Coturnix japonica: one gene and its partner. The protein of the gene in region 1 interacts with the protein of each later gene in a pairwise test. Links are inferred from orthologs where the notes say so. Each region holds a gene or a part of one and is shown in the gene's direction. Other genes may lie near its edges.

What was found.
Region 2: the proteins of PUM2 (region 1) and DAZL interact in a two-hybrid assay, tested with the Homo sapiens proteins (2 studies listed by BioGRID and IntAct). The link is inferred for Coturnix japonica from reciprocal best matches to the Homo sapiens genes PUM2 and DAZL.

What each region holds. Positions count from the first base shown.
Region 1 is NC_029518.1:92,782,453-92,786,203, reverse strand, and holds the start of PUM2 (pumilio homolog 2), read left to right. Parts: upstream 1-1,430; 5' UTR 1,431-1,674; intron 1,675-3,751. UniProt on the Homo sapiens protein: Sequence-specific RNA-binding protein that acts as a post-transcriptional repressor by binding the 3'-UTR of mRNA targets.
Region 2 is NC_029517.1:31,523,555-31,527,205, reverse strand, and holds part of DAZL (deleted in azoospermia-like), read left to right. Parts: intron 1-794; coding exon 795-929; intron 930-1,185; coding exon 1,186-1,277; intron 1,278-2,550; coding exon 2,551-2,602; intron 2,603-3,651. UniProt on the Homo sapiens protein: RNA-binding protein, which is essential for gametogenesis in both males and females. Plays a central role during spermatogenesis.

The sequences.
Region 1 (3,751 bases):
GTCAGTGCAGTGAATGACCATGGAAAGTCTGTGTTTGTAAAGCAAAGGTGAGGAAAAAGGATGTGTGGGTGGGAAAGTCCCTCTGTGCAAAATCTACAATGTGTAAGTAATGCATGAGGCCCCAGGGAGAGGCTGCCTGAAGGGGATGCTGGGGCACTGGGCTACAGCTCTCATCTCAGTACAAGCTCCTAAATATCACAGCCACTGCTGGCCTAAAACATGAAATACCAAGGGAGTCCCACAGCCATGCATTTAGCAATGAATCTTGTGGAGGTGGTATTTCAGTATTTTTAATTAATTATGGGTATGTCTGTTGACAAAGTGGTATCCAGAACTGTGCACAAGCTGCCAGATGCAGCGTGTGGTATAATTAATAACTTCATCAAACCAGGACCTGCTCCTGTGAACGCACAAAGCATTCATCTGAGTCAGCACTTCTCGTGGACATGTAGGTAACAAGGGATGTGCTCAGGGGATGTCCTGCCACTCCAGGGCCCTGCTCTGGAATGTGGACAGATAGCTGTCATCAATTGGGACCTGCAGTGCTGTGCAGCCTGAAGGTGGTAGGTGTCCAGCCCAGAACTGGACACAATATTCCAGATGAGGCCTCACCAGGGCAGAGTAGAGGGGGAGGATCACCTCCTTCGACCTGCTGGACACGCTCTTTTTAATACACCCCAGTATGCCATTGGCTTTTTTGGCTACAAGGGCACACTGATGGCTCATGGTCAATCTGTCGTCCACCAGGACGCCCAGGTCCCTCTCAGCAGAGCTCCTCTCCAGCAGGTCTTCCCCCAGCCTGTACTGGTGCATGCTCTCTGGGAAGGCAAGAACTCAACCCTCCCACAGCCACCACCTCCAGGCACATCAGCCAGTCGGTGTTACTAACTCCGGCCACGCATTTACAGTTTATTGTATGAATGACGAGCCCTTCCCATAACGCTGAAAACATTCCTTGACAAGCAACGGCCGCAGCACCCAAGGGCACAAGCAGCGTCGCAGTGCCCGGTGGCAGCGGCCGCTCTGAGGGGAGGAGGGTTCGAAAGGGCTGACAATAGCAGGACACGGGGAAATGGTTTTAAGTTAAAAGAGGGAAGATTTAGGTTGGATGTTAGGGGGAAGTTCTTCACTAGAAGAGTGGTTAGGCCCTGGAACAGGCTGCCCAGGGAGGTTGTGGATGCCCCGTCCTTGCAGGTGTTCAAGGCCAGGTTGGACAGGGCCCTGGGCAACCTGATCTAGTAACTGTGTGTGTTTGGTGGCCCGGCCGGGCAGGGGGGTTGGAACTACACGATCCTTGAGGTCTCTTCCAACCCGGGTCATTCTGTGATTCTGAGGGACACGGCGGGCGGCGCATGCGCGCTGAGCGGCGGAAGGTGCCGGAGGCCGCCTCCCCGCCTCCTCCCGGCGCGGGGCGCGCATGCGCTGTGGCGGCGGCCGGGGCGAGCGGCGGCGGTGGCGGCGGGGGGAGCTTGGCCGCGCTGTCGCTGTCCCTCTCCCTCCGCGCGCGCCCTCCCGCCATGTTGTTGTGAGCCCCTCGCGGCCGAGGGGGGGGAGGGGAGGCCGGAAGGAGACGAGCCGACACGAGCGAGCGGCGGGGGGCGGCGGGCGGCCGGCGGTGTCCCACGGCCCGCTCCGGCTCCGTCGCGGCGAACGGCGCCGCCAGCCAGACAGCCCGTGAGTAGCGGCGGCACCGCGCGGGGCGTTGGGCCGCGGGAGGGAGCGGGCCGGCCCCCTTCCCCCGTTCCTCCAGCCCCCTTTTGTCTGCGGCGAGGGAGGGGAGAGACGGAGAGAGGGCGGGAGGGGGGCCATGTTGTGGCGGGGCGGCGCGGGGCCTGCGCGGCGGGCTGGCCGCCTTTGTGTGCTCGCGGCGCCGAGGTGGGAGCGGGCGGCGACGGCGGGAGGGGCGGCGGGTGGGAGCGGGGCGGGGGCTTTGTTCGGGGAGAGCCGGAGCGAGGCGCTTTGTGATGAGCGGGGAGAGCGGCGGGAAGGAGGGCGGGACGAGGCGGATTGGCGCTGCTTCCGCGCCGCCGGGGCTCGGGCTGTAATTGTGTTCGGAGCCGGCAGCGCTAACACAACTTGGGCTGGGCGGCCGCTGTCGTGTGGGGATGCGATACTGCGCTCCCCCAACCCCCCCCCCCGTGCCCGTTCTGCCGGCCGGTGCCGTGCGGGGCTTTGTCCGCCGCTCCCTGCGCTGTGTGAGCCGTGTCGGTCACTGCACAACGAGGGAAACTTTTTCCGTCCGCCTTGTCGTCGAACAAAGCGCTCGAAGATCTCTTTTAGTTTCTCTTTTCTTCTCTTTGTTGCCACCCGGTTGAGGTGAGGCTGTGTGCTGCGGGTGTGTGCCATACCGATATGTTTTATGTCTACTTACCACCTCACGTTCCCATTTTCATTGATAGAACGTGCTGTTTTGGTACGTTCAGCCATCTCTGGGGCCAAAGCATTGCCAACATATACGGCTGTACCGACATGCAGAATTATTTGCCACCTCCCTGTGACCCTCAGCTCAGTGTGCGCCATGTGAGCACAGACGTGTTGTGTTGGTGGGAGAAGGAGGCGTGGAGCAGGAGAGAGGTGGGAATTCTGTGCTGTACGTTGGGTTGTGTGTGTAGGAACGGCACCGAATCACCTGACAGCTCTCCTAAGTGTTCAGAGAGTTCAGGATCTGGAATTTGGCCCAGCACAGCGGTCAGTAGGCAAATGCCTGTGAGAAGCTGCTTGATAGTGAGCACCTTAATACCCAGATGTTAAACCAAGGGAAGCATATAGGATTCAAATAGGGTTGTTGGTATTTTTCCGGCATTAGTTGGGAATAGCTTTTTTTTATTAACTTCTGTAGTATCGTTTCGCTACTTAATGTTTTTCCCCGACGTTTGTGGTGTTGACACAGAGCTGAGGTCACTGTAACCGTATCTGATGTCGCGGTTGCTCCCGCACGAGGCTGTTGGCTGGAAAAGTTGGACGTGCCCATGTTGCAATGAGAAGTTATCTGTGCACCGAGGAACCGTGTGTTAAACGTTATGTAGGACTGTGGTGGATATTTGTGTAACAATGTGTTACACTGATGTGAATAATCCAGTGTTTGTTTGTTTGGTCTGAAGTTACCATCCAGTTTTAAGGTATGTTACCTCTTGCATCACAGAGTTGCTGCCAAAGCTGTCAGTCACAGCTGATAGACCTTAGTCAGAGAATCATAGAATCACCCAGGTTGGAAAAGACTTTGATGATCGTCAAGTCCAACCGCAGCCTAACCAGAACCCTAACAACCCTCCACTAAATCATATCCCTGAGCACCACATCCAAACTGCTCTTAAACACAACCAGGGATGGCGATTCAACCACCTCCCTGGGGAGCCTATTCCAGTACTTAACTACCCTTTCTGTAAAGAAGTTCTTCCTAATATCCAACCTCAACTTGCCCTGGTGCAACTTGAGGCCATTTCCCCTCGTCCTGAAGTTGTCTTTTTGCTGCAGGTCTCCATGCACACAAGTCCCAATGGAAATGAAGGCAATGTCAGGCTGCCCTCTTGGACTTCACTCTTAGTTTTCACCCACTTTATTTTGAGGTTTGTTTTCAGGTATCTGGAAGTCATGCAGCTTGTTGCCACGGAAAGCACATAAAGGAGATTTGGGGGTTTATATTTGTAGTTCCCTAGTTCCTCAATCGTACTAAAAGGCTGATAGCACTTTGGTTCCAATAGATATATGTGGAGATCACCACGTATCCAAGGAGAAGTAGTTTTTACCTGCA
Region 2 (3,651 bases), on another chromosome or scaffold:
AAATTATTATTAGGTTTCAAAGTATCAGTAACCTCAACTACATCAAAAGGTCTGCCTATCTGAAATAGGGATAATGCCACACCAGGTGTAAGGAAGAGATTATTAATACTTTGGGATGTCTTAATACAGAGAAATGAGCTCTACTGAGGTGGTCAAAGTGGTTTTTATCTACAGGAATGGCATGTACCTAGAACCATTTATTCAGTTGAGAAGATGAGGAACTGGAGTTTCATCTGCCTGTGGTGTATTTCAGTTCTTGCAAATATCTTTGTGTAGCATTTGAAGTGTGTTTTAGAGTAGGGAACATGTGGCATCAGCAGTAGGAAATGGAATTGTGTGTAGTCAATGTGAACAAATCATAAGCTTTGCTTGCTTCTTGAGCATTTCAGGCTTTTGATTGGGAAGGTGATGGAATTTATTCATTGGATAATCAATTCACAGTAAAGAATTGAAGTATTTCTTGCTTGCATCTGAAAGGAATCGTGTAGAACTTTGAGCTGAATAATGTTGAGGTTCTCCTTGTAAGTTGGGTGGTGGCAACAGTGGTTGTGAAGCTTCCAGCTGGGCAAGGCTGCTTAGTGTAGCCTTGCATGAGTCTAGATCTGACATCTTAACCTCAAAGAAGAGTTGGTTCAAACTTATCTATATGAATGCTCCATTTGCACTAAATACTTGTAAGTAATTGGGAAGATGCTACTGACATTTCTGGTCTCAAACTGCATCTATGGGAAGATGAAGTCTTACCTAGAAGCGTATTATAATGTGACTGAAATATTTCTGTTTAACCTTTTCAGTCTGCAAATGCGGAAGCCCAATGTGGAAGTATCTCAGAGGATAACAGCCATTTGTCAACAACCTGCCAAGGATATGTTTTACCAGAAGGAAAAATCATGCCAAATACAGTCTTTGTTGGTGGAATTGATACAAGGGTATTTCTATACTTTCAATGTTTAAAACAACGTGTAATGTGCTCCAGTGGGAAAGAAATAGGAATTTTAACTTCTGGAGGTCTTTAATTGGGTCTTTACCATTCTTGAATTAATACACTGTGTTAAGAGAACTTCGAAACAGACCAATAAGATTTTCCTGGAATACTTGGAGATGGGTTTAAAAATAGTATTTGTTGCTTTAAACCAATTGTAACAGTTTACTGTGCGAAGTAGTTCAAGACTTTGTTTCTTTTAGATGAATGAAGCAGAAATTCGAAGTTACTTTGAACAATATGGTACTGTGAAGGAGGTGAAAATAATCACTGACAGAACTGGTGTTTCCAAAGGGTGAGCGCAATGTCATTGGTTACTGCTTATGTAGTAAAGGAATTCTAATATAATGATGTCTGTTGTTAGGTTGTTGCTCACTTACGATGCTCAAGCCTTTCAAATTAAGGTGAATTAAAGTGAAGCATGTAAAATTAGACTGATCTGAAATCTTTGTAATCTTACAGTTGAGAACAGGACAGATTTTAGGTTGTTGGTGAACCTGTTCATGGAAAAGTAGTGTTGTTATTTAACCAATGGGAGCAAAGCATAAAACTTAATGGAGGCTTGTGGAGGCTGCTCTTTCACAGGCTGAAATTTATTTATTTATTTATTACGGCCATAGCAGTTAAGTGGCAACAATCAGTGTAGAACCACTAATGTAACAGAGAGAGAAAGAGAGTAGACTTTCATTGGGGACTGCAGTCTTTGGTTGCTCAGGGATAAGTTAGAGGCAACCAAACTGTTTCAGGTGGTGGGTGAAACTTAAGGGATGGTAGAAAGTTACAGAGACATTTCCATTGGATGTATAGAAAGAACTCTGATCTGTAGTGAAGAACTCAAGATGCCTAGGACTCTGCTCAGCGGAGTTCAGAGGAAGCTCTCCCAGCTTTGATATTAGACTTGTTTTGTGAGTAAGACTTCAGCTCTGAAGGTGCACCAGTTCCCTTCTATGTCTGAGCAGATTCCAAAATGTAGCATGGTTTTTATTTTTTTCATAGGCATGTATAGTAATGAGCTGAAAATATTGAGCTTAATGTCTCTTGCCTCATCTTTGTGGTGAATTCTAATGTGTGATTGGCAAGTGTATGTTCTGATTATTGATAAATTGCCATACTCCATTGATTGACACACTCTACTATAGTTCTGAGAATTGTCTCCAATATTCAGGCTTAAATAAAAGATAGTGAAATAAATTTAAAACCTCTTTTGGGATCACTTCCTCCAGTGGTGTAATTATTCCTGTAGTTCCTCCTTTGGTTCAATCCTCTGCAGTAAGTATGGAATTTAGAACATCCTAATTAAAAGAGCTTTTGGCTTTCTGATGCTACTAATATCAACAATAGTACTCACTAGAGTAACGTAAATGGGAGAGTATTGAATCTGGCATTTAATTCCTTTCATTTGGCCCAGTGTGCTGTCGGTCAGCAACAAATGTACTTTCATGCTGAATGATATATTAATGTCCTGTTAATATCAGTGTATGCTCTTTTAACTGTTTCAGTTAAATATATATATGTGTGTGTACATATATATATTTATTTTATATAAATATATATTTTTTTCTTTTCAGGTATGGATTTGTTTCATTCCTGGACAATGTGGATGTTCAAAAAATTGTAGAGGTAAGCTCTTTAAGTCTTAGGCTGTCAGAAGAACCTTCCATATGAAGGCTGTAGGTGTGGTTAGGGGAAACCAGTCCCACTGAGGAAAGTAAAAACAAAAGACTAGAACTGCCCTGAAGTAAACTTGCTTAAATGTTGTTGTGATTTAACCCAGCAGGCTGTGAAGTACCATGTAGTGTTTTCTTCACTGCACTCCCTCCTTCCCAGTGGTATGGGAAGATAATTAAAAACCCAGAAACAACCAAAAGTAGAGCTTGTGAGTTGAGGTGAAAACTGTTAACCAAGAGAATGAAGAGGAAAAATGGGTAACAGTTGTGATAATTGTGTGTGTGTGTCTGTAACTGTTATCCTTTACACACACATATATAAAAAACAAGGGATGCACCCAGCAATGCTCACCACCGACCCAGCAATGCTTAGCTTGTCCCTGAGCAGTGGCAGGCTGCCTGATGAACTCCCCTTTTCATACTTAACTTCTACATGATATCATATGTTACAAAATATCCCTTTAGCAAGTTTAGGTCGGTTGTCCTGATTCTGTGCCCTCCCAGTTCCTTGTGCCTCCTGCAGTGCCGTTGGTGGCAGGGCAGTGGGAGAAGCTGAGGGGAAAAAAAACGCTCAGCAACAGCTGGAAGTGTCACTAAGTGACACTTAGTTTCAGTCAGTGTTGTTTTTTTCCCTAAAACCAAAACAAAGCATCATACCAGACACTGAAGGAAAGCTACTCTGTCCCAGCTGAAACTAAAACAAATACCTGCTGTTGTTGCTGTATGCTTCTTTGTATATGAAGTCAGAAACAAAATTAATGTAGTCCTGGTCTTGGTGCAATTTAAAGTCTTGGATCTGTTGGGAAAATTTGAAGGAATAAAGGTAAGTGGCTTCATACTGAGGCAATGATAAAACAGCAAAGATTGGCATGGATAGTGTGCGTAAAACAGAATGAAACCTGGCAGTCACTAATGAGTAATTTAAGGATACAAGGCTTGTGAAGATCCTCAGTAGATACATGGGTTTAGTGAGAGCATTACAGGAGGTTAAAGGTAAGAAGC